4 linked regions of the Struthio camelus genome follow. The protein of the gene in region 1 interacts with the protein of each later gene in a pairwise test. Links are inferred from orthologs where the notes say so. Each region holds a gene or a part of one and is shown on either strand. Other genes may lie near its edges.

Region 1 (7,221 bases):
GCGTAGCCTTCGAGGCTCGTGGCGTAACGGCATCGCCGCGGCCGAGCCTCGGGAGCCCGCCGTCTCGGCGGGAGCTGCTGTAGCCCAGCTGTGCGCGGGGGCTACAGGAAATGAAACGCAGAGTAGCCGCGTAGTGGGGTTGAGATCCTACTTGCCCGGGGATTTGCTTCGTTAGGCGCTGGCAGTAATTAGGGGCTCGCCCGCCTGCGCCAGGAGGTTGGCGTGCCTCGGAGAGGCCGGAGCACAGCGGCGTTCCCGAATTAACGCAGCGCTTAATCCGGAGCTGCCGGCGGGGGGCTGCGCGGAGGAGAGCGGTGTTGCAGCTGGGGAGCGGGTGCGCCTCGGCGGAAAGGGCACCAAGTGCGAGAGGGTCTGAGCCAGGCTGACCGTCAGCACAAAGAGTTCATAGTGCTCCCCGCGGCCGGACAAACGGCCCTGAGAAACACCCAAAACCTGGAGGCAGAGCTGGACGATGCGACTGCCCTGGATCTGCAAAACCAGGCTAAGAGTTTCCGCAAATCCAGCTTGCGGTAAGCCACAGCGAGTGGCCTCTGGCTGGCCCCTAAAATCTTGTTAAACGGTGACACTGATTGTGCTCTCAGGTGAGGATCGGGTCTGCGAGAGACTCTCAGGGCTGGCACTGATTGCTGGTCCCCAAATTTTGGCAGCAACTGCTCTCATCTAATGTCTATATACAGATTGTGCTAACCAGAGCAGGGACATCGCTTTCCCTTTGTAGACGAGCTCCGAGTTTTTTCCCTGGTCCTGAAATAGAAGAGGTAGTGCTGGTTGCTGAGCCTGGGCCTTGGAAAGACAGGGGCAGAGGAAATGGAAGTCCTTCACATCAAAGGCTGAACATCCAAAAAAGTTTCGATTTAGGACTCAATGCAAGCAGCAATGAGCAGCCTGGCCAGCAGTCAGTAGTTCTTTTCGCTCAGTAGCGCTTCTCCTCCAAAGAGCCTTACAAACAGCAGCGAAAAGGGCTTCCTCGGCCCCCTGCAATGCAAAGAAGCATCATCACCTCCACCTTAAAACGAGCGGCCTGACACCGAGCGCTGCGGTGATTTCCTCAGCCTGCCTCGTGCCTTGGTGCCAGAGCTGGAGCAGAGGCCCGATAAGGTTGTGACTCCTGCTTAAAACACACCAGTTTCCATTGGAGACCAGTGATTCAGGTCCCGCTTTGCTTGTCAACCCCGGGAGCTGGTAGTACTGGAGCAAGGCTCGGCCACGGGAGCAGGGGCGTCTCTTGCCTCCTGCCTATAGGGCTGATTTCAGGCCTCCTCAATCCTCTGCTCTGGCGTCTCTCCTGCTCTTGGTTCACTTAAGACTCAAAACAGGGGTTTTATGACGTGGTGCCGGTGCGTGACCTCAAGGCAGTCGCAGGAAAACTCGTGGTATTTGTACGGCGCCGTGGGCCCATGCCGCCGGAGGTAGCAATCTCTGGGAAAACGTTTCTGAGCCGTTCTTGGCTGGGGTGGGCAGCCTCGCTCACGAAGCCGATGTCCCCGTGGAAAACAAAGCATGAGCATGAGCAATGGGAAGTGGGTCACCGCAAGGTTTGTCCTATAGGAAACACACTGGAAAGCCCTTCTCAGAAGTAGAGCGCTGAGATGAACGCAAAGGAGGACAGTCGCTGCGAGGCCGGGAGAGCATCCCTGATGGGAGGCCGTTCAAAGGCTGCGTGCATGAGACTCTTCGTGCCAGGGAGATGACGGGGGACTGCGCCAAAGACCTGCTAGCACAGAAGTTACGGCCTGAACGCCTTGGTGCTGGTCCAAAAGGACTGAGCTAAATCAGGGAACTGGTTCAGAGTTTGCAAAAGCCGCTCTTTGTTGGCCCTTCTGCCTTATTTACCAGGCGGCCAAGCCTGTGGCCAGGAGCCTACGGCAGAGGTGTGCGGATCTGTGATTTCGAGGTGCTCTTGGTGTTGGCTGTGTGGGTTTGTGTTTATTCAGCCCAGCGCTGATTGCAAAGTGATGGAAAGAAACAATGTAAGGGATTTCCCGCAGCACTCAGTTCCTGCGCTGGGCTTTATTTCTGCGCCCGGTAAAGTCAATGGGACGTTTGCAGCTGACGTCAATGCAAAATGCTCAGTGTGTTGTGAAAAGTTTCTTCTGAGTTGCCAAGTCAAAAATGATACTTTATTTTAATAAGTCCTACAGTCGTTAATGGTTTTCATAAAGCTCCTGCTCCTGGAGTCGTGTGCATATAAAGTAATTGCATTTTTCAGATATTTTCTAGACCTTTCTCGTTGTAGAGGAAAACGTGATCTGAGCGTTCCCTTTCAGCCCTAGGCTTTGAGGTAAATAAGCCCTCAAGAGTTATTTGTTTTGAATCTCATGATTTTCAAGAGGCCCATGATTGTTGAGTGTTTGGGGTTAGCTACGCTGAGCAAACATCCTGAACGTGGGCTCCTGACCCCGCTTTGAGTGTTTTGCTTTTCGGACCCAGAAGGTTCCCAGGAGAGGAGAAAGGAAACTGGCTGGCTATTTTTAAACCCTTGCAGTTGGCTTCCTGCTTTATATTATTTATTATCCATTATCAGAAGTGTTTCTGCCCTGAAACAGTCTTTAGTGGTCAACCAAGGGACCAGTGAAAATTACCCATCAAATAGAGCTGCCTCTTTCAGGAGAGAGGTCAAACAAAACTAGAGGGGTTTTTTAGGGTTTTGCCAACTGAAAGCAATTAGTGCTTTTCTATATTATGCGGGCTGTGGTCGTGCCAAGCAATTCCAGTTGTGGGCCATAATTTCATTGCCCGGGGTGCTAAACACAGACGAAAAGCAGCCCCTGTCCCAAAGACCTCGCAGTCCGGAGAGGCAATGCCGATTTCCTCTAGAAATCAGGCGGCGGCTCTGATTTCTGCATTACTGGATTACATGAGGCACGCGGCCGGACTCGTTTTAAAGCGCGTCTTGCACTATTACGTGGTTTCCACAGAAGGAGTAAATGAGCCTAAGGGCGCCTCGGTGCGGAGTGTCGTCATCTCCGTCCGGCAGCTGTCAGCGCGGCAGGCTCGAGCGCTTTGAGCAGCGCTGCGTGGTGAGCTGGGGCCAGCATCACCTCCAAGAGATTATCCCTTGGGATGTTCTGGAGGGAATATCCCTGGTCCCCACGGGAGCTGCCTGGGGCAGCGCAAGGCCCTGGGTGCAGGCTGGGTCGGTGGAAGTCCCCGTGTCCCTTTGCTGCCCAGACAAGTGGGGACAACAGCCCACAATGTCCTCGTTCATCCTCCTGGCCTGGTAGATGGTCAAGTTTAGACTGTTGCATTCGTCACGGCTTTGTTAATCCTTTCCTGCCCGGGCGGGAGCTGCAGGCGCCGTGCCCTGCCGGAGCTGGACGGGCGTAGCAGCCCGGCGCCGCGCTCTCGTAGCGAGCAGAGCTGCGGGGCTGGAGGGCCCCGGCAGCGTGCTGTTATTTCAGCTGGGGGGAGAGCTGCGGCGTAAAAGCCTGGTTTCTGGTGGTGTCGGCAGCGACTGCCTGGCCCCTGTGCGACGGTTTGTCGGGGCGTGCGAGGAGGGAGGGAAGGCGAAAAGCTGGGGAGGGCGAGAGCGTGCTGCGCTCGGCCTGGAGGAGCGATGAACGACCACCAGTTTTGCCTGTTTCTCTTTGCCTCAAAGTTACGCTACGTGGTTTCGGCATCTGCTTGGAGGCTCAGAGCCTCTTTAAATTAGGATCCGCCACCCCGCTGTCGCCCTGGCCGCGTCTCTTCTCCGGCGTGCCCGCTGCGCCGTTCGCAGGTGCTCCGAGACCTCGCCTCCCCGCTGCTGCGGCCCGTCGGGGAAGGGGTCAGAGCCTGCTGCCGGCGCTGGCGCTGCCTCAGCCCGGCGCGTCCCCTCCTCTCCGCCCCGGGGGCCGCAGCTGTGGCCGGCCGGGGGCTGTGCGGGGCCGTGAACCCGCCCGGCACCGCTGGGGGCTCAGCTCGGGTGACTCGGTGGAAGCTGTCTGTCCAGCCTTGCACATGTGCTGTTAATATTCATACACTTGCATTTAATACTTTTTTTTTTTTTGGGGGGGGGGGGGGAGCCTCGGTGAGCGGCCGGGCGAGGCGCTGTGCAAGTCCCAAGCTCGCGTAGAGCTCGTCTTCCAGGAGCGTTTGGCAGCTCGTGCTGTCGCCGGGGCAGCTGCCCTCGGTGCGGCCGCGGGGGGGCCCCCGACGGCAGCGCCGCGGCCGAGGGGGCCGGGCCGGGCGGGGGCGGGGGCGGAGGGCGGCGATCCGCTGCCGGGTTTTGCAGCCCTCGGCGGCTCCGTGGCGGCCCCGCGGGGACATCAGGGCTGCTGGGCGGCGGCGGGGATGCGGCGGCGCTGCCCATGGTGAGCCGCCGCCGGGCCGCGCCGCACCATGCCGCGGCGCCCGCCCCCGAGAAGATGTTCGAGGGCTGCCGGCGGGCGCGGAGCCTCTGGGGCGGCGTGAGGCTGGAGGTGGCCGGCGAGCGCAGCCCCGTGGTGCTGCACAGCTTCACGCAGCTGGACCCCGACCTGCCCCCGCTGGAGGTGAGCGCGATGGGGGCTCACTGCTGCGATGAGTTCGGGGAGGGGGGGGGCTCAGCCCGCTGGAGGGTGGGTGCCCGGAGCGGCCGCCGGCACGCGTCCCCGTCTAGTTTGGGGGCTCTGCCTCGCTGGCAGCTTGGCCAAAACCAGCCCGGAGTTAGGGAAGGGGGTGGCTGTGGTAGCCTGGTACACGTGTTGTTGTTTTGTTTTATTTGCTGAATAAATACGTGCCCCTGCTGGGTCTTTTTGCTGCGTGTGGCTGTGCCATTAACTGGCAGGCAGGCTGCCGAACTGGGCGCTCTCCCTGGAGATGAACAGGGGGAGAGGGGCAGGTTGCTAAAATCAAGGTCTTTTATTTTAATATTTTATTTTATTTTTTAATTAAAGCTTAAGCTTTTAATATTTTTATGGCTTGCTGCTCGAGGTGGGAGTCAGCTCAGATCCCGGTTGCTTGTAAAGGCAAAAGGCTTGTCCAAAGAAGCCACATAATCGTCCTCTAGGAAGGTTGTGGGCACCAGTAGGACTCTGCTGGAGGATGCAAAATGTCTGTGCTCCTCTGGATTCGACCCTGGGTGGGTCAGTGCCGGACTGGCCTCTTGGGGGTCTCAAACAGAGCAGTTGGTTGTTGGCAATTACGAGCGGAGAAGGGGACACGGGCACCAGAATACTCTGAGTCAGAGCTGTGGGTTTTTTTCCTAGCAATAGATGATCATCCTCGGCCTGCCAAGAATGTCATCAATTCTGAGCAAACAGCACGTTAGGAGACGCTCAGCTGGAGGAAGGTTTTGGCATTCGGAGGTGGTGCCTTTCAGGGCAACACTGGAGCCCTGCGAGCTTCGCTGCACAGCCGGGCAGCGTCGCAGGGGTTAACAGCAGCACGGGGCAGCGAGCCTGGTTTTGTTGGGATTTAGAGCCAGCTGCAGATGTGCTTCTCCACTCTGGATACTTCTTGCTGGAGGGAGGGGGGGGAGTCACCACTAAAACCTTTTGAGTTACTGCACAGATATCCGGGGAGGGAAGCCAGCATTTACATGGGTGATGGCTCTTTCTCCTGGTGCTAAATGATCTACCCTGTTACCTATGGTGGAAAGTCTTGGTCAGCCATGGACAGGAAGGAATTATCTCAGGCTGCGGCAGTACCGGTTCACCTCTGGCTCTGCTGGCTGGTGGTGGCAGGGGCTCATCAGCTCTGCAGAGAGTTCATGAAAGCGCCATCCAGCTTATTTTTCCCCCCTCGTCTCCCCCTGCTTCTCTCTCCTGGGGGTGGGTGTACTGACATTGTTTGGAGTACATCATCTGGTTCTTGTTATGTCTGGCAGGAAGTCCAGCCTCTCCATCCCTCAGCGCTCCGGGAGGCTGCCTGGGCCGCGCTTTTGGCAAGGAGAGCAGGAGAAATGGGGAGGAGAGAGGAAAAGAGGGGGTGATTCAGCTTGCTGCACTCCTCGACCCAGGGAAAAGGGCTGCTGAGCATGCACAAGCCTCTTTGCACCCTGGTCGGAGGAGGCCCTTGAGTTCAGGAGTGGGTTTGGCTGCATCTCGGGAGGTGGGGGGCTGCAAAGGCAAAGTTACAGGCCTCCAGACCAGGGAGAAAGCGGCTTTGCATTCCCCCCAGTTGGCACCAAGCAAGCCCCTGCTTGTCTGAGGACCTGGTGGAGCACGGGGTCTGCCCTGCAGACCTCCTCTGCAGTCCTCCTTGCCCAGATTTCTTCTCTGTGCTGTAGCACCCTGCCTTCCTTTGGTTGCGCGTAGAAGCGTGTTGCTTAATGGTCAGAGCACAGCCCAGGCATCAGATTGCCTGTATTCTCCTCCCTACGCGGAATATCTCTACGTCTGCAGACAGGTTACTCCTTTCTCTGCCATCTGTTCACAAAAGGCACCTCCCAAAGGGGACTGTGGTGACCGACTCACTACCGAACAGCGCTGAGATGCTCCAAAAGCCGCTGACCTCTGGCATGCTCCCATATGAGGACCTCCACGTTGCTCATTAGGCCATGCCGGCGTTCGTTTTGCTCGCTGTCATTACAAAGCGCAACTGGGGAAAGGCCCACTGAAAGGAAAAAATAAGAGGGACCGTGTTGTTGTGACACCTTCCCTGGCACCAGCCTCACGTGGTTGTAATCCCGGGGTAAAGTTACTCTGCAAGATTTACCCTGGGAGAAGAAGGCTGATTATTTGAATAAGAAAACCCCCACAGCCTGTCAGTGTTTTCCTAACCTCCGCTCACAGCCTTGCTCTAAGCACCCCGGAGCGCTAACTCCAGACCTGAGGTGAGAGCCTGGGGGCTGCCGCCTCCTGCCAACGCAGCACAAGGCTGCGGCTGCCTCGTCCTTGCTAGGATTTGGTCGCTAGTGTGTTCACCAACATCTGTTTCCAAAGGGAGGACTGGGCTAAAGGCGGTTGTGCCTCCTGGCTTGAGCTTGTCCTTTGGGACAGAGCTGTTTTTGGTGGACCTGTGCCAACTTATGTGGTTGACAGCCTGGTCCCACAGGGATCGGAGGATCCCTGGAAAGCTGCCCATCGGGTTATGGGGAATACGTAACTCGTTGTCCTCGTCTCCTCAGCTGAACGCCTGCTGGTGTCTGTAGCGCAACCATTGCTATATCCCACAGCAACGTTTCTGATGCCATCTCCAAGGCGTCGGCTCGAGGTGTCTGTTCTAGCTCTCTTACAGCCGCCTGTCGCTAAGCGTTCTTGCACCAAAAGCCCTTTGTAATCGCACGATGATTTTAAC
Region 2 (7,307 bases), on another chromosome or scaffold:
TTTGTCACGTGGCCAAATCTAGTACTGATCCATGTTTTAAGGAAGGCAGCTCTCCGAGTTTGTTACTTAAGCCAAAGAAATCTCAAAAATGAAGCACGTGGCTTGCTTGTAATCAATTTTAAAACAATCTGCAGCAGTTCCTATGCAGTTTTAAAAGACAAACATACTCAGCCATATGCTTGCTGCACAGAAGCTACAGAGGTGATTGCGTGGCAGAACTTGCACAGCACACACACTTGATAACATCATAAACATTAAGAGCTCAGGAAGATACGGTGGTATATGAATTTCCACCAAGCCTCATCTCTTGTTATCCATAACTACATAGCAAGTATTGAAATGAGACAAAACTTTCCTCTACAGCATCTGAGGCTGTGCTCAAAAGGCATTTAATTCCCAGATTTTTTTTTTTCCTCCCTCCCTGTTTAGAAGGTTGAGTTGTCTGCTGAAGATCACTTTGTGGTAGCAAGATTTTATCTCAACATTAAGGAGCAAAGGGCAAAAAGATGTAGATGATTTAATACAAACTGACAATAAGTTATTTTGAATAATTCATCCTCAACACCTCAGCTGAATGCTACAGCGTTGTTTGCTGATTATTCTTTAAAACTAAACTATTTTTTTTTCTGCTATTAAATTGAAGAGATCCTTACAGGTGACAAAACAGACGGAAGTTCCTTGCTTGCAGATCTTGTCCGAAAGACAAGCATCAGTTGCAGCACTTGAACCAAAACTTTTATTTCTATAGGGATGTAGCCCAAGCTATTGGTTATTTAAAGAACAAATTTCTACAGGTGCTGAAACACTAAAATGATCCAATATACTGCAGAATCTTACTGCTGTTAAAGTAAATGAAAGCACCAAGGCAGTATGCGGACTTCACTTTTTTTTTCTCATGTCTTTAATAGAAATGACAGCATCTTTATTTTTCTACCTTCAAAAATCAGTAATGAAACAGTTCATTGATTTCAAGACCTATCCAAATATAAGTACCTTCCATCAGACATTGTAACAGTCAATATTTTAAAATATTGTCTTTTCCAAACAGCCAGTAGTCTAATATTCCACCTTGTAAAGCTGAGAGTACTGAAAGCATCACTCCTCCTATGGAAGTTCACTGTAGCTGATAGCCCATATCAATAGCTTGATAGCCAGCTGTCAAGTTAAAGTTGTTCAAAAGCTTTTAACATAGCCAAGGACTATTCACAAATCCACTCAGCAATGTTTTCCAAGACAGCACCACTTCAAAAGTGAAGTTAGGTCATGTTCAGCTGCACATATTATTGTCAGAATTAGTTAGATGCCCACAAGAACACGCAGGCAATACCATCTAAAGCAATAATAATGTATTTAAGTATGAAAGGCACTCTAAACCTCAGCTTCAATCAACCACTGAAATTAATTATCCGCCTGTACAAGCAAGGAAGAACTCAATCAAGACAGCGGGAGAACTGTGAGTTATTCTAGTCCTATCCCTCCAAAAAGACCAGCCAGTCAATATCTTACAGGACTGAGATTTGCAGAGACTCAATATCTTAAATAGGGTACCTGATCAGCTAGCTATCTACACGCCCCAAGTGTAACAAATACTTCCATTCCATCTCAAACAAACACCTCTAAATAATTTTTCAAGAACTGACTCTCTTAAAGTGTCAGTTATTGGAACGTCCTACAGGATATACTGCATTTTCTAAGCATTCAGTTATCTAATACCCACATTTTGAAAGCAGTTTTACATGCAGTTGTTTAGTCTATGCTGCAGAGCCTAAATTCTCACCAGAACATAACAGCTAATGAACATAAGGATTAGAAAAGAGCTTCTGAAATAAAAAAGTGAGTCTATTTTCAACCAGATCAGCTGCCCTCACAGAACGTCCCCTGAAAATATCATTGCCCTAAGTGCTAAAAGGCAATGATTTGTCTTGATGTCTGACAACCTATCTTAAGGGTAGGCTGAGTATCAAGATCTCTCCTCAGAGGAACTAAAAAGTAAACAGAAAAAAGTCATTCTCTCCAGATTTGTTACTTTGTTATCAACAATACCAACAAACAGAACACAAATAGTGGTCTCCTCCATCCACCACAAAGAGACAGATTAATAATACTCCCACGGCAGCAGCAGCAATGCTAAAAGCGACAGTACAGAAGGGAAAGGTAAGTAACAGGGGTGCTGCTGAATTAAGAGAGCAGAAGAGCAAAAGGACCTTGCCTCATAAGACTGTTATGTACAATTTACCTCACCTTTCCTGTCATTTTTCCCTATAGTGGAAGTCAACAGAAAAAAAAATTAATTATTTAGAAGGTTAAGCCCGCATCGAGAACAATAATTCAGATGCAGAGGCGTTCAGAGAGCTGGCACAGCGTGCTCTGCAGGTTTGCAGATATTTCTCTTATTCAGCCATAAGACGCCCGCAAGAGCCTCCTCAGCGAGGCCGTACAGAGACGGACCGGGACGGCACCGGCCCGGCGCGCTCCCCTCCGACACCGCTCACCAAGCCGCACCGAGGGTCTGACTGAAGCCCCCGGCCCGGGGCGGGGCGGGCAGCTGAGCAGCGGCGCCGCTCGGGCAGGGCAGGGCAGGGCGGGCGGCGGCTTCGGCGGCGGCGGCGGCGGCGGGCCCGGCGCAGCCCCGCACCCGGCAGCGCTGCTCGGCCCGGGCGCCGCCGGCCCCGCCCCCCGCCGGGGCCCCTCAAGGTCGCGGCGTCGCCGCCGCCGCCGCCCGGGGCCGGGCCGGGCCTCCTGCGCAGCGAGGGGCAGCGCCGCCGCCCCGCCTCGAGCCGCCGCCAGCGCCCAGGCCCCGCCGCCGCCGCCGCCGCCGCCGCCGGCAGGGCCGGCCCGCGCCCCGCCGGCCCCTCACCTGTATGAACTGGATGGTGAGCGCCGACTTGCCCACGCCGCCGCCGCCCACCACCACCAGCCGGTACTTCTCCTGCCCCGGGCCGTCCCTGCAGCCCGCGGCCATGGGGGAGCCGAGCCGGGCCGCGCCGAGCGCGGCAGCGCCGCCGCCGGGGCCGGGGCCGGCTGGCCGCCTCCCTGCCGCCGCCGCGCCCCGCGGGAGGGAGTGTGTGCGCCCAGCCGCCGGCTGCGCCCGCCGCGCCGTGCCGTGCCGTGCCGTGCCGAGCCGTGCCGAGCCGAGCCGTGCCGTGCCGTGCCGCAGCGCGCAGGCGGGGCGCGGCAGGGGGCGGCGCCCGCTAATGGCCGCCGGGGGCGGGGCCGCTCCTCAGGATGGGAGTGAGCGGCCCGGCCCGGCCCGGCCCCGCCCCGCCGGGAAGGAGGCGGCGGCGGCGGCGGCGGCGGCGCGGGGCGGCCGGGGGTTCGGGCTCGCCCGGGCCCGACGCTGGCCCCGGCGCGGCCGGCTGTTCGCGGCTGGGTTCACGCTCCTAACTGCGGCGGGCACGGCAGAGCGCGTTATCTACTCCCCACCACCCACAAATAGACAACGGTTCATTTCCTCATGGGCTTCACTGTGGCAACTTGTCCTTTACGATACTGAGTGCTTCGTAAGCGTTAATGAACTTACCGTGAATACCCGTGAGAGAGAGGTATTGTTACCCCTAAAGCAGAGATGATGAACCAAGACAGAGTGCCAAAACATCATGAGTGTCAGGCACGGATCTACTGCGAGGGAAAGTAAGTGCAGGGAGACCTCAGCCCTCCCCCACTTTTCAGTAGCCGCCGCCACCACCAGCCAAAGCCTCACCCTGCTGTGTGGCGAATACGCCTGTGCCCGTGCACACGAACGGGCTTCTTGATCATTTAGACCATTTAGATGAAGGCTACATTCTTCCCCCGCATCACCCACCTCTGGGTGTCGCGGCCTAGGACACATCATGTGCATGTGGTCGGAGCCCTCTGCGTGCAGCTGCTGCCGGGAGCGCTCATCTCTTGCAAGTGAGCCACCAGCGCTGCAAGTCAAATATCCAGAAAACGAGGTAAGGCACAATGATGGATCACCTCTGAAAACGCTGGCTTCTGGGAATTCATTAACATCCCACAGGAGCTCTGGGGCAGCAGCAGGGAGGGGATCCAGTTCCCCCACGCAATGTTCAACCAGCTTAAGCACAAGCTATCCTTTCTCTTACGCAGTATCAGCCTCATACATCATATACATTCCTTATTGCAGACTCTAAGGATATGCCTATACTTCACAACGTAGCTGCAGAGAAGCTAGCGCAGATATCTCCATGTGTTCAGTTTGGACATGAAATAGGCATATTAGACAATATCTACACGGAGAACATTTTGTGGTAAATTTGGTCCTCTGTCTCTCTACTACCTCTGCTACAGTAAACTACTGCTTTCAGTGATGACCTACTGCCCTACTGATTTGGGTAATAATCTACTGTCTGACATGTTTCTGGACATCCAAAACACTAAGCAGATGGCTACTGCACAGGCAGTGTCAAATTGCTCTATACAGGTTTCATGAGTTCAGTGTTCCAGATCACATTAGACCTGTTATACACAGACTGGCTTATGTTGAGCATCCCCAGTATATCTGACCTGGGACAGCTGGATCAACTGGTTTTGGAGCCACCCATGAATAGAGGTGGCATACACTTTGCTTATAACAGTGAAGCAGAATTTTGGCAGCATACCTGATTTCAGGAAATTCCTTCTTCCCCTTCTCCCTTTTAAAAGGGAGAAGCAAAATCAAGCGCTTACATATATGAGCAGCCTCTTGTCAGCACAGAATGACAATCAGTTGTGATCACATTCCTCAACAGCATAGACACGCCAACAAAATTTTGTAGTGTAGACACACTCCTCCTCTCACCTAGAAAATAAGGAAAACAGAATTAGTGGCCATGTACAAAAGCTTTGCTAAAGTGATTTGCAGGGATAGCAATCCAGGTGTCATTCAACTTATTCACCTCAAAAAACCTGACTTTCTGCAATTGACATGCATTTCAGCTCTGCAACAGATGAGGCAAGGGTCCTATAGGCAGGAGTCGTCTTCTCTACGCATCTGGTTCGTTCCCACAGCACTATCCATTTGATGCAGTGAGTAACTCAGAAATCCATGGAAAAATAACATATATTGTGGAGCTAATTAAGAGCTAACACGATACCATCTGCACAAATGGGTAAATCAATGAGGTACAAGTAATCTTAATTCTATCATTTCCTAATTTGGCAAGCTGAACTTTGTAACTCTTACACTGCATTCCTTTCCTTAAAAAACGGAAGTGTACAAACAAAAAGGACATAATGAATAACCTCTGTGAACACCCCTTCTGCATCTGGAGCGGAGGAATATTTGACGCATGGAAGACACAAACCAATACCTTGTGCGTCAATGGGGTAACTGTAGGAGAGGGAGATGAGAGAGATGCTTTGCCACCAGGATTCACAACTATATTTTGGGAGAGGAATATTAGGACTCAGGACCCTCAGGAGTTTAGTACACTCCTGTCATTATTAGCCCCTTTTGCACATCTCTTTCCTCCCTGCCCTGGCTGATCAGAAATAAGGAACAGCTTCCAAGGGAGAGATTAAATATCCTAGGATTCTCTAGCTTGGAAAGGAGAAAAGTGAGAGGAAAATAGAGATCTACAAAGTCCTAAGCAGCACAGAGAAGTTGAATAAAGTTTCATAACAGGAGAATTAAGGGAAACCCAGAGATAGTATGAAGAAACAAGTTTAAATAAACAAAAAGGATTATTTTCTGCAGTGGAAAAAATTATGGAATTGTGGAACTCACTGCCACAATGCGTTGGGGAAGACAAAATTGTATCTGAGCTGACAGCAGGAGTAGACCAAGTCATGGAGCAGGTATTACACAAAGTGATCAGGGACACAGTTTTGATTCAGGAAGTTTCTAAGACACTGACAGTCAGGAGATAGGTTTGCTATGAGAAATAAGTTACTTTCTGCATGCCCTAGTTCTTGTACTCCCCCTAAGTTAGTAGCCACTGTCAGGAACAGAGACCTGTTTAAGTATTAAGCCAGAAGAATAGTTATTCTCATTCTTAATTATGTTCTCTAATTTACAAAAATCCAAAGTATGAAGTTTACTATGAAGAGAAAGGATATACAAAGTCGAGTTGCTGCTAGTTTATCAAGCATTAGGTCTAAAAAAAAAAAAATTACAGGTAAGATTTCACAATTGGCTATTAGTACTGTAACCAGTAAACTATACTCTCTGGAACTGAGACTGAACTAACATGAAAAGCATATTCATTGAAAAGCATATTCATAGCTATTAGATTTCTAATAACATATTAATCTCTGTAAAAACTACTGCAACAGAATATTTGAATTCTTTAGTTTACAGATATATAGAAAACAAACATTTATACTTTCCCTTGTCTTTTTTTATGTTTCAATTTCATTATACATCCTTTAAATAGCTATTCTTGCCGATGTGGCCACCCAACCTTGTGAATTCCACAAGAATACCTTAAAATCTTTAAAACAGACTTATTACTGTTACAATTCTTTGCACTTGTTGTTTTGGTAATGAAATCCGGTTTCACAAATAAAGTGATATTCTTGCAAAACACAAGGCAGCGATCACAAAACAGCAAGACACGGACAGCAATAACTAAGCAGCATTTTACTGTGGTTTATAACTGTATCCAAAGATCCCAGTAAGAGTTGTGTTGTCTTTGTGTTGGGTGTTGTATAAATATAGGTAAAGAGAGAGTCCCTAGCACAGAGAAGTTGCAGCCTAAATCTTGGGTGTTCAAAAACCTATGTGTAATAGTAATTTTCTATAACGGAAACAGTTGTCTTACATTCCCTATGCAGTACATGGAGAGAAGCTGAGGCCTCCGGAGGAGCGTGAGAGCAGCGGGGGCAGAACTAGTCCCCGCAAGTGCTAATCTCTCTACTTTCTGCACCTAGAGCCTCGAGAGACTGAGTATTGTCTCCCCCCACAAGAGCACCCTTTGAGCCCTGGTTTCAGGAAACAAGGAGTTTACAGAAGCATGAATAAAGAAATGAAGATGAGGATACAATATATAAACAAATAATGATGCATACACAATTCTGTTATTATGACCTCCTTTCTTTATACTCCTAAGTGAAAGCAGGTCCATGAGCACGGGAAGGGACTAGGCACACATGCTAGGGTCCAGGTGCAATTCTGAGGCAAAACAGAGCTGAAAGAAGGGGAGAATGAGCAAGTTAGCAGTTGCCCAGATCTTTATACAGAGATTCTCTCCTCTACTAGGCAATATAGACAGGTCTGTGAAGTACATGACTGAAGTATGAGAAGAGGAAGCAGCAGCTGATTTGGACATCAGCTAACCTAAGAAAGGCTGATTAGTCAGGGGCTTAGAGGTAAAGAGAAGAAACTTGTG
Region 3 (8,002 bases), on another chromosome or scaffold:
ACTGCTTTTATTTCATTTGAAACTTCAGAATTATAACTCTTGGTCTCCTAATACCATTTGGGCCTACTAAATGCCATCAAAGTTTTTTTTTCTTTTTTGCACTGTACATAGTTACTAACTTTGTAACGGACATAGGAAATACCTGCTTTTAAGATGTGTAACTCACTTTTCTGTGGATGATCTTAGTTTAACTGAACACAAATATTCCTCTTGTCCTGGTGCATGATCAGTAGAAAATACTACGCATGAAAATAGATTATTTTTAGAATCAGAATATGGGAGCACTGTAATTCACTTCCGGTCACCTCCACCTTAAAGAACTACATACATGTTCTCATTTTGACTTCTAAAGCTAGGATTTCACGACTTCTGCTATCCAATGCAACAGAGAGAATGAAGTGACAAGCTGCTGAGAATCAGAAACGGTAACTCCCTAGCTTATAATTTAGCACTGAAAATTTTTGTTGAGATATGTTGTCAGTCTTCAGGCAATCGCGTCAATAAATTGATGGCATTTTCTCCTACCACAACTGTGGTAGGAGAACCTTAACTATTTTTATTTATAACACTGATCTTTTCCATAGCAACAGGATATGAACACGGCATTCCCAGCGTAATGAAGTCACTATAGCAACACGATAATGATGTCAGAATAATCAGAAAGTTTTTCCTACTTCAGCCATGGTGAACTACACTACTTCTCAAAATTAAAAACGTTGCAGATATCACAAAGGCAAGGGTGCTCCACGCCAAACTTCCCTCTAAATTACCTCACTTCTGCTAGCTTCTTACGAAAGGTTCAGACCTTGAGTAGCAATGCGGCATTTTCAACTTCACGAGGGCTCGACTCATTACTGCCTAGAGGTTTCAGGAATTCCACATTAAATAGCTTTCGGTGAGAATTAACGACATACCGTTTCATTAAGAAAGAACAACAACTCCTCATCAAAACCGTGAAGAGCTTCGCAGTAAGGACTGCGACTCTCAGTTAACAGCGTGTTTCCTCGGTTTAACCGTTCAAAGGATGCGGTGCCCCTTTTCGCTTTGCATGCTACTGCTACGCACGCCAAACCAAAAAAAAGCAACCGCAACAGAAAAGGCGTCGGGGTATCATAACCCTCCGCAGGCGACGGGCCTCTGCAAATGGAAAAAGCAACTATTCCAGGAAATATCGTCTCCCTTAGCGAGTTATTGGGGGGGGGGGGGGGACACAGAGTTTTCATGATTTGTCCTTTTTGTGGGCAGCTCTTTCCAAGTTGTGACCAAAGCAAACCCCCCCCCCCAAAGTCCCTTCCTCAGCTCTGTCAGCCAGCACCAACTTCTGGCCGCCTCCAAAATCCCAACCCGCCGGCTGACAAGGCGGCAGAGCAGCCTTCCAACCCAAAACACCGCTCCGGCAGTTAAAATAACGCCAGCAAAGACGGTGTCTACACAGAAAAACATCCCCTGGACAGAAAAACAGAAACAAGAAGCCGTTTCCGAGCTGGAAGCGGTCTGGGAGGCCGCGACGACCTGCTCCTCGCCGCTGCCGGCGGCCCGTGTCCCAAAAGCCCCTTGCCAAAACTTAAACCGCGGTGCCCCCCCCCCAAAACGGGCCCTTCCGGACCTGCCTCCGCCCCGGCTTTGCCTCACGCGTGGGGACGGCGAGGGCCGAGCAGCGAGAAGGCTCCCGAAACGCAGCGCGGAGCCCGGCCGCGGCGGCCTCGCCCCGAGCGCCGCTCTCGGGCTTCCCTCACGCCGCCCTCGGCGTCCCCTCGGCTCCCCGGGGGGGGGGGGGGGGGGGGCACAGCGGACTGGGCGCAAAACACCGCGGTTTGGGCTGCTTCCCGAGCGGAGCGGCCGCCGGGGCGACTCCCCGGCCAGGCCGCCTCTCACTGCCCCCGCGGCGACGCCCGCCGCCCCGCGCCCCCCCCCCCCCGCCGCCGCCGCCCCGCCACAAGATGGATGTCAGCCCGGCCCGGCCCGCCGTGACAGCCCGGCGCCGGCCCTGCCGCCAGCCGCAGCCCCCGCTGCCGCCCCGCTCACCCGGGCCGCTCCGCTCCGCCTCGGCGCTCGGGGCTGCTGCGCGCGGCGGGGGCAGCGCGCCCGCTCCGCCCTCAGCGGCAGCGGCCTAGCGAGGAGCCGGCGGGGCCCGGGCGGGGCGGGGCCGCCCGTGACGGGGCGCCGCCATGACACCGCCCCCCGCCCCCCCCCCCCCCCCCCGCAGCAGCGGCGGCCGGAGCCGCGCTGAGGTAACGCGGCGGCGGCGGCCGGAGCTGCCGCGCGGCTCGGCGGGCTGGCGGCGCTCCCGGTAGGCGGCCGAGGCCGGTAACGCGGCCGGGAGCGTTTCTTGCCCTTCATCGGGGCACAGCGGCGCGTCCCGTCCGCACGGGGAGGGAGCCGGGCCGCTGGTGCCTGGCGGGAGACCCCCCCCCCCCCCCGGGACGGAGCTTCCCCCCTTTTCGTCGTGTTTTCAGTCGCCAAAACGCACCTTGAGACGCGGCATTTATTAGCTACGTACTTATTTTTAAAAAACAAACTGATAAATAAAGCCTTAACAACCCCATAGGATCAAAGTAAAAATATACCTAACAGGAGACCTGCAGCCGAGGAGAACCGAAGACGAAGGGAGGAAAGAGGAAACCGCGCGTCTCCGCGTTGTCCTTGTGTCACTCCGCGTTTGGGGGCGACGGCAGCCGTTGGTGCAGCGTCGGGGCCGACCGAGCGGCGTCTCCTCGCCTGCGATCGGGGGGACTCCTGCCCTGGCTCTAGCGTGAACAACCCGGCTGTCAACCACCTAGTCAAGAAAAGCCAACATCAGCACTTAAATTTCTACAAAACAGAAGTTTGTGCTAATTAAAAAAAAAGAAAAAAAAATCATGTAAACGCGCCATAAGAGCTGCGGTCGTTTCCGTGATTTGAACGCATGGTGCTCGGTGAGTATGGCTTAAAACGCAGAGGGATACTCCATCCGTCCGCAAGCACGGCGTCTGCCCACTGCGTAACCCGGGGACACAACGAGGGCTGCAGCCACCGCCTCCGGACGAGCTCAAGGTTAGGCGGGGGACAAAGGACTCCGAGCTGTTGCGAGAGGTAACGGCAAAGCTCCTGCAGCAGCTGCAAGAGGCTAAAACAGGAGAATTTGCTGTGCTCCTTCCCAAAGACTCTCTTCATTACGTTGCTCTTGTTCAGACTTGCTGGCAGCTTGAGTATAAAACATTTTTTGCATTCACATTGCCTTTCATCCAAAGGGGAAAAAGCTAAGTATTATTTGTATTAATAAGAAATATTATTTCCTTCACAGATGGGGAAACAGAGACAGATTAAATGACTTATCCAAAACGCCTAGCAAGTCAGTGGCCAAGAGATGAGTACAACTAAGAATCCCAGCTCTCATCCTCTACTCTAATCAGAGAAAATAGCACTCCCGCTGTGCTTGTGAGTGCAGGAGAGATCTACAGTGCAGAAGAATTTTGCTTCCAGGTATAAATCATGGATGCTGATATTGATCTGTAAATCCCAGTTCTTTATGGCTCAGGTCCTAGCAGGGTATTTCTTTCCCTGGGGACCACCATGCTGGAAGAAAGCAAGTAAATCACTATTTCTTAATTTGTATAGCTGGAGGCAGGTTAGTCTCAGTGGAGGGATTTCCACATTTGCTTTCTCCATTAGGTTTGGCAGAACTCAGACTTGTCAACCTCAGTAGCATTGTTCAAAATCCCTCCTTTTGCAGGGAGGCATTTTATGTGGATGGATCACATGCCTTTAAGGATACCTAAAGCTGATTGCTGAACATCTTTGGTTGCTTCAGAATTGCAGTTTTATTGTTGACTCTAAACTTAGGCAGCAAATGACTGGCTGTATATTGTTAAAATTAAGAGGCTGTATCCAGAAAACATGCAAAGACAAAAAAAATCAGTAGTAACTGATTCAAAAAAAAATCAGTTTTGAAACTGTAAGTCAATAGTTGTGAAAGCTGCAAGTCAATAAAAATTCACTCCTGTGGATAGGAGTTGCATGAGAAGATCCTGCTTACATCCTTAAGGGGCTTAATATACTTGAAGGTATATAAGCATTCTGCCAGGCTTTATCAGAAGAGTACATTTTGCTTGCAGGTTTCCTTTAAAACTAAAGGTTTAATAAAACTTTGTCTCAAATATCAATGCATCTACAGCATCCAGACACACTCAGCGCCTGATTCAGCAAAATAAAGGACCTACTTAATGCCTGTTCTAGGACAGTTGATTCCCCCCGCCCCTCCTCCAGTTTTCTACAGATTTAGATGCAAGCTGAAAACATTTATCACTTAATCAGACTTTGCACGTACATGAAATTAGATCTGGATGAATGTGAACCTTGGCTATGAAGTAATGCATTAAAAAGGAAGGCAAAGGATGAAGAAAGATCCAAGTTCAACTGCAGTCAGTGGGAATTTTCCTACCAGTTTCTGCAGGGAATAGATCTGGATCTTCATTTCTTATAGCCCTGCATGCCACCTTTTTCCATTAACAGAACAGATACGGCTCCCATAGACAGACTTATATAGACGGGGCCTAATTCTATATGCTATGAATTCATGTATAGTTAGTGCTATGAATGTGCCTGATTCACAGTGCTATGTTACTGCACTTCTCCTGTGTAATGGTGCTTGCTCTTTAGCAAAGAAATTGAAACTGTCAACTCAGTGTTATTAAGTCTTGCATCTACACTTTCCACACCTTGCCTCTCCTTCAGTGTGTTTTCTAAACAAGAAAAAATACTATCATTTCAGGAGATATCACTGACCACCAGGTCTGGTAACTGGCCACCTCTTGCCAAGTGTCAGGAATAGCTTAAACTAGACTTGAACTAGTGAAACAGAAAGGAGATTCTCCAGGATCTGTATGTTTCTACATTACTACTGATGTCATCGCTTACGTCTGCTTAAAGTGGGTAAGAAGTGCTAACATCCCAAAACAGTGGATTTCTACTCCACACAGCCTCAGCAACACCACAAGGAAAAAAAGCAAAGAATTAAGCCCTCTATATCCTGTCATCTACAGGGTACAACTCTTTATATATTGAGCACAAAAAGATCCTTAACATTGCAGTTTTATAAAAAAATTGCAAATTATCTTGACCTTTCTACTCTTTTAAAAAAAATGTTGATGCATAACATATCTTTTCTGAAGTCCCTGCTCTAAATCCATTGATATCATTAAATTATACCAGTGCTTCACTTTTTGTGTTATGTGGCCGCAGTGAAAGACTGGGTAGAAAACATGGTTATTCCCAGCAACTGCAATAGGATTGACATTCTTTGCCTGGATGTGCTGCTGAGTTCTAGGGGTTATACCGAGGTTCATATAGACAGATGAAAATGAGTCATAATCCCTCAGGACACTTTTTTCCAAAATAACAATTGCCCAATTGGATAAATTATCACAAGTTCAGCTGATGCAAATAGCTAGCTAATACCCATTTGCTCATTTAATGAAATCCAGAAACAATGTGCAATCTCATAATGAGCCTGGATTCCTAGCTGATAGAATCACAAGACTAGAGAACAGAAGTCAGCTCAGTAAAACACATCAACAGTACGTTTAAATGCAAGTGTATTTGACACTGTGCAGACTCATAATACATTGCTGTTATTAAATGCAAAGGTGCTGACTTCATAAGGATCATGTTCTGATTGACTGAACTTTGTAAACCGCACAAAACAGGAATTTGTCCTTTCCAAACACTGTGTGATAATGAAGAAAGGATAGTCATGAAAGAATCAGAAAAATATTCATTACAAAAGCTCAACATGAGCTTTTGAAGTGGAAACATAATATTTTCTTTACAGTTTAGATTACAATGTATCATCAGGAATAATGACAATTGTAATATTAACAGTGCATGCCAACAACTACTGGCACTGTAACGACAGTAATTTCTTTCACTGATAACGTGGATACAGGGGTCACTGAGCATGCGCTTTGTCTCACGTCACCAGGCCGTGCAACATCATGATGCAATGCTCTAGAGGATGCAGCGTCCCTGCCAGGGTTCAGACCACGAAGGACAGCTTAAAACATACCAGCGTTCGACAAATTCTGTGGAGGCAGGTGAGCTCCAAAGCTGTGAGCCTATTATCAGAGCAGATAGGCAGGACCAAACAGGCTCCTCTGCTGAAAAAAAATCATTCATCCTCAGGTTGCCGCAAACCCATTTTTTCTGTGCCTGCTGTCAGGCTGGGTGAAGCTACTGGATAATTATCCAGATACGCTGGAAGGTGTGGAAATTGGGGAGGGAAGGCTGGACCCAAGGCAATGCTCTGTTTAAGGTCTAACTGGCTTCCTAAGGTAAGACCTGGGCTAGCTCTGGAGGTCAGAGTTAGAGCCCAGAAGAGCAAGCACTTCTCTCTGCCACTGTCTTCTCCTGACTCAGCTGATATCATTGAAGTTTCCTGAAAACACAGGAAAGGCTAAATCCCAAGTGGTTGCTGCAGATGCTGAAGTACTTCCAGGTTTCAGCCTCAACAAAGACTGTCTTCACCTATGAGCACAGAGATTACAGAACAGATGAGGAGGCAGGAATGGGATTCCCTTTATCAGAAGTACAAAAGATCCTGGGCCTTCTTCCTCTGTGACTTTTACTGATCTCTCTGAAAGGGAGATAGAGACTTCTTAGGCAGCTTCCTGAATGCTGTCCTAAATTGAAAGCACACCAGAAGTGTCTGGTGTCTGTCTGGTGTTTGTGATAGCACAGAGTAGGGAGAAAGGTAGAGACTGATACTTGTTTCTGTTTCAGTGGTTTTTATAAATATCATAAAAGCCTGAACCTTGCTGGGGAAGGAAGCATTTAAAAAAAAAAAACCACACACACACAATTCCTGCTTCTCAGGTATGTCAGGCAACTGCTTATTATCATACATAGGAGTTCCCATTCTTTAGGCTAATGGCAACATAGCAGGCTGATTTTTCTACAGGCAATTCAAGAATTTACTTGTGCAAAAGTGTAACAGCCTGGCATTTGCTATGAGATCAGGCAGCTGGCAAGGAATTGTCCCCAAGTGAGTTAAAATGAGCCGAGAAGTTAACTTGTGTACCTCTCTCTCACTTTTTAATCACAGGTATTGGTTGCAGAGCTATATTTGAGAGTCTTTCAAGCAATGTTATCCATGCATCTCCCCACTGCACAGCCAGTCTATTCATGGCAGAGATTTTCTTCCAAGCAGTGTGCTATATTTATTTTTTGGTGGGAGAGAGAATTTTTTTCAGAAACTGGGATCACAAAATAGAAGACTCAGTGAACTTGCTTCCCTTGCGCCAGGAACCGTTTGTGAAACATACGGGAGATGTTACCTGTTCTGGGAGGATCTAACCAGCAGTAAATGGTGTTGGAGGTGTCCAACTATGCAGAAAGACAGTACTGAATTGGGCCTCCTGTGTTTTATTCCTAATTCTAGAAGGCAATGAAGTCTAATAGAGGGCAGCCAGGGACTGGACTGTGGCAGCTTGGCTCCCTTTCTTGGCTGGGCCACTAACATGGCATGTTACTGCCACCTTTCCCTATAGCATAGGGATGGAAATATTAGTCTCCCTCGTTGGGAGGGTATGGAGTTGAATTAAAACATACCTGCAATTCTCTATGCATCTCGAGTCTGGTAAAGCAGGATGCCAAAATGTAAACTCCAATGAATGTCAGATGGGAAGGCCTGTATAATTTACATGGCAGCAACCTGGAGACTCAAAAGACAATAATAATCCCCCAATAGCTCTACAGTCATTTTGCTTTCAGTTGGGAACTCCATTCTTTTCTGGTAAGGAAAATTGGAGGATGCATTACCTGCAATTCCCGTATCACGGGACTCTTCTTCAGCTACTAATCTTTCATTCCTCCCCCCAGCCCACTTGTAAATGCAGAAATTTGCAAAACGGAGAACTACCTGAGCAGTCTTGCCAAGCTGCCGTGAAAATCTAACGGCCTAAGCAGAAAGCAAGTTTGCCTCTTCTTGTGCTGGCCAGGTAAAAATAGAAAACAACAAAAAGGTATT
Region 4 (7,914 bases), on another chromosome or scaffold:
AGAATATCCATAGTACTTATTGTAAAGTGTAAATACACCTCTCATCTAACCGAAACCTGCCCAGATGATTAAGAATAGATATTACAAAAGCCAGCATCCCCCAAAGCTCCTTTTACAAGAGTGAGGAAAACTCACTGAGAGGGAAAGACAGAACGTGATTTAAGTGTGTTCTGGATTGTTGTTTTTAAAATCTCACATATCTTAATTAACAAAAGAGCTGCTCTTCTAGTACAAGTTAAACACTCCCCCTCTCTCTAAGGCTCTGTTCACAGAGTCTTCTACCAGCATACATGATATTATCTGGCCATTCAGCAAGCAGACAAGAAGACACAGCCCCATGAAGGTAATCCCAAACTCAAGCAAAGGTAGCTCTCACAGGGGCATGTTAACTCAGGTCTTTACTTCACTGAAATAACACAGCTTCCTACCATTTCAGAGCATAGACTCCTTTCACTTATGTCTACCTGAAAAAGGCTGCATAGCCATTCCCTGAGTCACCATTTAAGCCTAGATTTAAACCTCTGTGATTCCTTCAAGTGAGCTTGGAAGCACCTCATTGTATAAACATATAAATGAAGTCATAAGCTACAGAGCTTCAGTACTGGGAACATAAAAATCTTGGGTAAATTATAGTGTCATTTCTCCTTTTATACAGAGTCTGAGGTTATTAAATCCAATGATCCACAGGAGACTTCGGACAACACTAGTATTTTTCTTGTATTTAGAAGGCAAAGCTTGCCTGCTCATAAAAAAAGCTTTTAAACAGCATAACTTTTGAAGCTTAAATATAGTTTCAAGTTTTGAAGAACTGCATCATGTATTTCAAAGAATCCACTACAGCAGCTACCTTATAACATTTTTCTAGATATACAGCAACACCTACTGGCATGTTAAAATAAAAAAAAAAAAAAAAAGCCAGGCTCCAGATTTTGTCTCATTCACCATAGCATTCCAGAACACATTTCTCACCCTGTGAAACAGATCCTAATGATAAGAGCTGAGAAAGCTTGACAGGTACATTTCAGGACTACAGCTTCTCCTACTTGAGATCAAAAAGGAGAGTCACATTTAAGACATTTGTAGGTTGCATGCAAAATCAGTTTTGACAGGCATTTTTAAGCAAGTTTGACGAATAACATTGTTACTAAAATCATAAAAACATGTATTCAAACTGCCCAATAAGATATGGCAACTAACACCACATTTTAACTGATCAATATTGTTAAGTATTTACTGCAGCTTTTGTTCCACTGCCAGATCCAAAAGTACTCTGATTTGCTCTCTAATATTAGCTCTGTACTCTAGTTTGCTCTCTAATGTCTCAGACTTTATGTCTGAGACTTTTTCCATATAAAGCTTTTTCCTATGATGTTTTTGGGGTAATTGTCTAAAGGTCGTCAATCACCATTATTTACTGATAATTTCTCATCATAAAGAGTGTAGGATGGAGCTGTTTACCTCTATTGTAGGGTCATATTCATCCACAAAGTGATTTTGAATTAGCTGTATCGTCAAGGCGCTCTTGCCTACACCACCAGCTCCAACGACAACAAGCTTATATTCTGTCATTTTTTAGCAGACCTGATGACAAAGAAACCAACATTAAGCAGAAAGGGTCAAGCTCCAACAAAAGAGAATGCTGTTACTGCATTTTCATTCACTATCGTATTCCTTTACTATTGCAGGGAAGCAAATTCTCCCTCTTCCAAAAAAAAAAAAAAATCAGAAAAACAAACAAAAAGCCACATGTGCACACACACACTCAAAGGCTAAGAGGGGATGCTACTTTTCAAAAAAAAAAAAAATTCTTAATAACTGTGGCGCATACATGAAGCTGAAAGGCAGCGATTACAAAAAGCTGCCTAAAAAAAAAAAAACCTATAAAGTTACATTAATTTCTGAAAAGTGGTTAAAGAGTATTTTCTGTAGAATAAAGGCTTCATTTTCTGCTCGGTTTCCCTTCTGAAGTTCCACGAATTCTGGCAGACTTCCCTGATTTTTTTTTTTTTTAAATTTTTTTTAAATCGGAACCGACCAGCACTGAGCACCCCTGCCGATCTGTCCCCGCGGCCACCCCAAAGACGGGAACACGAGTACTTTAAAGGCCGGGCCGGGCGGGCTCACCTGACGAGCTGCCCTCCGCGGACGCGTCCCCCCACCGGGGCCGGGTCGGGCCGGGCCGGGCCAGCAGGGGCCGCCCGCCGCCCTCCTGCCCGCCTGGGGGCCGCCCCACCACGGTTCCCCTCTCGGAGCGAGGCGACGCGGCCGAGGCGGCCAAAACTTTCCGCGCCGCCGGCGCACGGGATTTTCAGGATTTTGAGTGGGGGGAAGGAAACGAGTAGGAAAGAGGGAGGGGTTTCGCGGGCGGCGGTTGACTGAGCAGAGGCAGCCGGTGCCGGGGCTCCCGGAGGGCGTTGGCCACCTGTCCCGCCGCCCCCTCCTCCCGCACCGCGGGGAAGGGAAGCGGCGCGGGGGAGGCGCGGGCTGCCGGAGGTGGGGGGGGGGGGGACGCGGGGCGGCGGCGATGCCGGCGGGGGAAGGAAGCGGCGCAGGGCGCAGCCCCCGCGGCGGCGGCGGCGGGACACGCGCGGGGAGGCGGCGCGGCGGCCCCCGCCCGGCTCTGCCCTCGCAGAGGTGGGCGGCGCTGGGGGAGGGGGTCGCGCCGGGGCGAGCATCTCCGGCCGTGGGGGGCGGGGGAGGGGGTGCCCGGCTCCGGTAAACCGCCGCCGACTTCCCCCTGCCCCACCTTGGGGGAAAGCGGGGGGGGGAGGGGGAGGAAGCAGCGAGCGGGGCGGCTAAGGCGGTGAAAGGAGGGGGATAGGCGGTACCTGCCTGGCGCTGTGCGGGCCGCGGGAGCACGCCGGTGTGCCCGTGCCCGTGCCCCTGCCCGCCCCGCCGCGGCGGACCGCTCCGCGTCCCTCTCCGTCCCGGTCTGAAATGGCGGGGGACGGGGAGGGCTGGGGCTGGGAGCTGCCGAGGGAGCCGAGCGCCGAGTGGGTGGATGGATGCGATCGACGCGCTCGGCGCTCCCCCGCCCCTGCGGCAGCCGAGGGAGGAGAAGGGGAAGGGGAGCTCCCCGCCCACTGACTCAGGCGGGGCGGGGAGGCAGGGAGGGAGGGGTGCGGCAACGGTCACTCGCGCGGGTGGCAACGGTCACTCGCGCGGCGGCGGCGACGGAGGAGGGGGGAGGCGCCGCGTAGGGGAGGGAAATAAGCGTAATTTCAGTGTTTGCTGCTTCCTCGCGGCGGGGGCACGCGGACCGTCAGCCTGCCGGGCAGGCAGCGGCGGCCCGGGCCGCCTCCCCAGCCGTCCCAACGGCCGCGGCCCTGCCCTCAGCCCAAAGGCACCCGCTGCCGCATCGCTCGGGGCGTAGGAAGAGGGGCTTTAGTGCCCCCGTAAGGCTTTATACCGGTTCCTAGTCAGGAGGCTGCGCTGGCTGTTTGGCAAGGTGGAGCGTGAGAGGCTCCCTGTGTAAACAAGAAGAATAGGGTTTATCCTTACGGGTCAAGAAAAGGTCACAAAAGCAGAAATGCAGAATTACCGTAAAACTTAAATGCCCATTGCAGTTTTAATAATTTCGGTATTAAGGTTAATAATTTTCACAATTAAACAAAAGGCTTTTATTAATTGCCTGGGTGCTCTGCACAACAGTTAATCAGCGTACTATTAGAGGCAAGGTAACAATTGTACCGCAAAGCCTACTTTCTCATTAAAAGGCCAAAAACTCAGTTCCCTCTAATTGGGTATACTGCATAGGTCATTTCTAAGCTTGTGTTATATGGTCATAAGTGCTATGAAATTTTTTGAAATATTTATGTCATCAGGTCTAAGAATCCAAGCTTATTCCTAGGGTAACTCCAGTGATGTCGACTGGATTACACCAGGGATTAGTTTGGCCAGTTCTGTTTTCCCTCTTAAATTGGAAAGTCAAAAATAAATATATTGTGTCTACACATCTGGTGTTCAAGAGTTTTAATTTCAAAGGCTGGAGCTTTGTTCTCCATAATTGTGTGTGACAGAACTTGCAGCTTCTTTCATTCTCAGTGTGCATCCAAGGCACTGCGCTTTTGGGCAGCATCCATCTGAGCATGTAAGGCATTAACCCTTTGGGACAATGCCATCTAATTTAAAAGCTGTGTTCCTGTGATTAATTCATGCAAATAAGCCAAAGACCCTGTGTTGCTGTTCAATGCTACTCCCTGATGCTCAGGTATGAAGACCCGGGTGGAAAACAAACATGTTTTTGAGCAGCTGTGTGAAAATATCTCTTCAAACAGAGCCTAGGAAAGATCAGAGGAGCTCTTTTCCTTGTATTCTTGAAGCCAGTCTTTTCTGTCACTGAAATCAGTGACACAAGTCCTACGGACTGCTATGGGAGCTTGGAGCTTGTGTAAGGATTCTTATATGCAACAGGAGGCTATATATTGTCATGAAATGCAAAAAAAAAAAAAAAAAAGAATTTGGAAAGCTTTTATCCTCTCCCAGTGATTTGAGTGTTAGTGACCTGGTCCTTTTTGTGTTAAATGCTCTTACTAGATTTTTTTATTAAGGCTGATGAGAAACAAAGTCACAAAAAGGCACATAAGTGTAGCATGCAAAATCATCTCACAAATCAGAATTAAAGCTGAATGATACAGATAGCTCACTTCATAAGCAATCTCACATGAGCAGTTGCCAAAACCAGAAGAAAGCCCCACTTTCAAAGAACGAGTAGCCGGGTGGTAAAACCACAAGCTTGGGATGTGGGAAACCCACATTCCAATCTGTGGTGTGAAACAGGCAAAGAAAGGATTTGAATGCGGATGTTCAGCAACCGAGGTAAATGCCTTGATCAGCTGTTTTAGGATAGCAGGATCTCACTTTTGTGTTATACCCCCTTAGGAAAACTACTTGAAGTGTTGTGGTTCATCATAAGGCAATGGGAAAATGCCTGTGTAACAGGAAAGCTTGCCCAGTTCTGCACTTAGTACTGGTGTTGCACAAACAACTTCAATGGTTTGCTCTGATCTACAGAGCTTTGTATGGGTAGAAGCTGTTCATCCTTAAACCCACACAGTCACAGTTGGAATCAGAAAAGTATCCAGAGAGACTTGGGTGGATCCTTCTCTGTGAAAACTTCAGGTCTTGATTACAGCTTGAATTTCCATGTTTTGTACTATCTCAGTGAAATACAAAAACTATCATTCTGCAAAGAGTTTGAGGGGGAAATGAATTGTTGGGAAGCTGGAAAAAGTTGAATGCAAAGCTTGTTTTTTTGTTGAATGCAGATTTGTTTCTAAATGTCTGTTATTATGAACTTGCTGTTTGTCTTAACTAAATTTCTCTTAGAAGAGATACCTGCTGGGTAAAGTGGTTTGAAAAGAAGCAGAAATAAAAGAGCTGATTGAAATATATAAAGTACCAACCTATACACTGCATTGATATGAAAGCCCTTGAAAAGTCAGCGCAAGTGATGCAAAACCTCCTAGATTTTGCTAGTGTCTCCTATGTGTTACCCACTTCATTTTAGTGATTGTTTCTACAGGGCAATTTGCACAGAGAATGCAGAACATAAGCAAAACAGACACACTTACTCAAATCCCAAAACACTTCAGGGTACTAGAGCTAAATACTTTTATTAAGTTAAAGCATATTCATAAATTCAAAGGCCTCTTCACATTTGCATTAAAATATTCCCGTCTGGATTATCTGGTCCTTCATGGATACTGATCTTCGAAGGCTCTCAGGACAAATCGCTGGTCAGAGCTCCTTATTCTGACAAGATGCTTCCCTTATGATATCAAGCACTAGACCCAAATGCAGGTATAATCCCATCAGCCACATATTCACCCTACTCAGACTTATCTAGTCCTATACTTTATACAATAAAGTCAAAGACATTTTAAATTTCAGAATATATGAGCATTTACCACCTGACTGCCAGGAATCCGGGGTGGTGGTGGAAAAGTGATACACAGCTCCAGCCTCAAGATAAACAATAAGATTTCCCTGTCTGACTATCTCTGTTAACAAGCTGAGACAGAAGTTAATTTTCCTGGTGCTTTTGCTGGCATTTAACTACATGCAAAGCAGATGCAAAGGCAATGGAGAATCACTACAGGGGGAGAAGTGGGTTTGTACAGTTTAAAGATTGCATGCCATTAATTTAAAATATTAGCATAAGAGAATTTTTCTGTCACACACAGAGAGGCCAAGGGTCTGCAGCCATTGCTACCTGTTGTCAGGTATGCTTTGTCGAATAACCACCGTTTATACATTTGGTCCCGGTCAGCACAAGCACGTGATTATATTTCAGTTCATTTAGCCAGAAACCACAATACTGGGGCTAAGGGTGGTTTCATGCTTTTAGGCTAGCAATACAACATTTTATGCCAGATTCAGCATAAAGCCTGCAAATACAAAGTGTTTACATGACGTTTTTTGAACACCTTTGACCCAACTGTGTGAGTTTATATTTTGCTCTAGTACAAGGTCCCATATGTCACCCATGAACAGCATGGGATCCATGGCATTTGGAATATATTAGCCTTCAGTCACTACCTTTTCCTTATCTCCTCCCAAGACAATTTTTAGACTTTTAAGGAAGTCCTACAGACTTAGCTATGCTGCCCTATCCTTGATAAGGCAACCTACAGAAGAATTTTTTTTTTTTTTTTTAAAGTCTTACCTAGAGCAGTGTAAATGCCCTTACCAATTTGTGTCTATTGACACAGCAGAACACAGCCTTATTCCCCAGACTTTTAATTCACTAACTCTAGTCAAGGCAGGGTCTAGAAGAGAGAGATGGTAATGAACTCCATGTTGGGAAGAATACAATGAACTTAAATACAGGAACATTTGTATCCATTGATAGATAGATTGATAAATGTAATTTTAAATGTTATTTTATGTTAAAATCAAAGCAATACTTTTCATGTGTGTTTAATTTTGGTCTTCCATCAAATTTCCTTTGGTGGTATGGCTCTCTTTAGTAATTTTACATTTACAGATTGAAGTCTAGCATATACGGACTCACATGGCATATGAACATAGCATACATAGACGCACACCTTATGTGAACATTTTTTTCCTTGTTGCTGTCTGCAATTCCTTTTAAAATTAGGTAATGGACCCCAAGAAATCCACAGGCCTTAAACTGAAAATTACTTTCAAATGCTTAGCCATATAAAGTACAAAACAAGGTTCTACTCCTTTAGCTTGAATGGCAGCTAAGCTGCCCTCTACACAGCTTAAACAGGAGACTAGTGCAAGGCCATTCAAATCTTTTTTTTTTTTTTCCATGTAGACTCCAAGGAACCAGGCTTAATATATTTTTCTTCAATAACAGTAGATTTGGCTTGAAAGTAATGCGTTAAGATACAGCATGTTACCGGTATTCATAAATGGTTTGACTTTTGGTTTAATTCAGCTGTCTCTGACTTTTTATTTTGAATATGTTTCTCTGCTAAAAATGGGGTGGAGGAACGGTTCAGCTCTGAAGTATTCTTTAGAAAGCTGGATGCTTTTGCCATCCCACCAATGTCATCTGGCATTAATTAACATAGCATCTCCCTAATTATATTGTCAGCATACAACCACTAAATTAAAATACAAAAAGAATTGTTAAGAGTTCCCAGTTTAACTCTGGTATTTCTTTTAAAGCATAATTTTTCAAGTTTTGTGTATATAGGAAATCAGCCAAAGCCCACTGAAGTTAATGGGATTCGTTCAGATTAAGCCCAGAAATGTTTGGAAAATCAGTGGGGTGTCCAACTTGCCTCTCTAAATCAAGCAATTAGGTACTTACATTCTGTTATTCAACACTGCAGATTTTCTCAAGGGACTGAAGAATGTCTTTCAGGGAGAAAAGGAGAGCTTCAGATGCACTGGAGGTTCACCATCCCATTGCACCTATGCCTTTAGGGTACCAAAAAG

Evidence for each region.
Region 2: the proteins of RALGDS (region 1) and RRAS2 interact in a two-hybrid assay, tested with the Homo sapiens proteins (2 studies listed by BioGRID and IntAct). The link is inferred for Struthio camelus from reciprocal best matches to the Homo sapiens genes RALGDS and RRAS2.
Region 3: the proteins of RALGDS (region 1) and RAP1A interact in a two-hybrid assay, tested with the Homo sapiens proteins (3 studies listed by BioGRID and IntAct). The link is inferred for Struthio camelus from reciprocal best matches to the Homo sapiens genes RALGDS and RAP1A.
Region 4: the proteins of RALGDS (region 1) and KRAS interact in a two-hybrid assay, tested with the Homo sapiens proteins (3 studies listed by BioGRID and IntAct). The link is inferred for Struthio camelus from reciprocal best matches to the Homo sapiens genes RALGDS and KRAS.

The regions. Positions count from the first base shown.
Region 1 is NC_090961.1:5,247,767-5,254,987, forward strand, and holds the start of RALGDS (ral guanine nucleotide dissociation stimulator), read left to right. Parts: upstream 1-4,218; 5' UTR 4,219-4,310; coding exon 4,311-4,493; intron 4,494-7,221. UniProt on the Homo sapiens protein: Functions as a guanine nucleotide exchange factor (GEF) activating either RalA or RalB GTPases and plays an important role in intracellular transport. Interacts and acts as an effector molecule for R-Ras, H-Ras, K-Ras, and Rap.
Region 2 is NC_090946.1:22,248,137-22,255,443, reverse strand, and holds the start of RRAS2 (ras-related protein R-Ras2), read right to left. Parts: upstream 3,016-7,307; 5' UTR 2,963-3,015; coding exon 2,858-2,962; intron 2,504-2,857; exon of another isoform or gene 2,254-2,503; coding exon of another isoform or gene 2,242-2,253; intron 1-2,241. UniProt on the Homo sapiens protein: GTP-binding protein with GTPase activity, involved in the regulation of MAPK signaling pathway and thereby controlling multiple cellular processes. Regulates craniofacial development.
Region 3 is NC_090965.1:8,960,502-8,968,503, reverse strand, and holds the start of RAP1A (ras-related protein Rap-1A), read right to left. Parts: upstream 3,006-8,002; 5' UTR 2,871-3,005; intron 2,777-2,870; 5' UTR 2,568-2,776; intron 2,159-2,567; exon of another isoform or gene 2,026-2,158; intron 1,891-2,025; exon of another isoform or gene 1,607-1,890; intron 1,133-1,606; exon of another isoform or gene 915-1,132; intron 854-914; exon of another isoform or gene 771-853; intron 1-770. UniProt on the Homo sapiens protein: Counteracts the mitogenic function of Ras, at least partly because it can interact with Ras GAPs and RAF in a competitive manner. Together with ITGB1BP1, regulates KRIT1 localization to microtubules and membranes.
Region 4 is NC_090942.1:76,287,850-76,295,763, forward strand, and holds the start of KRAS (GTPase KRas), read right to left. Parts: upstream 3,009-7,914; 5' UTR 2,829-3,008; intron 1,582-2,828; 5' UTR 1,570-1,581; coding exon 1,459-1,569; intron 1-1,458. UniProt on the Homo sapiens protein: Ras proteins bind GDP/GTP and possess intrinsic GTPase activity. Plays an important role in the regulation of cell proliferation.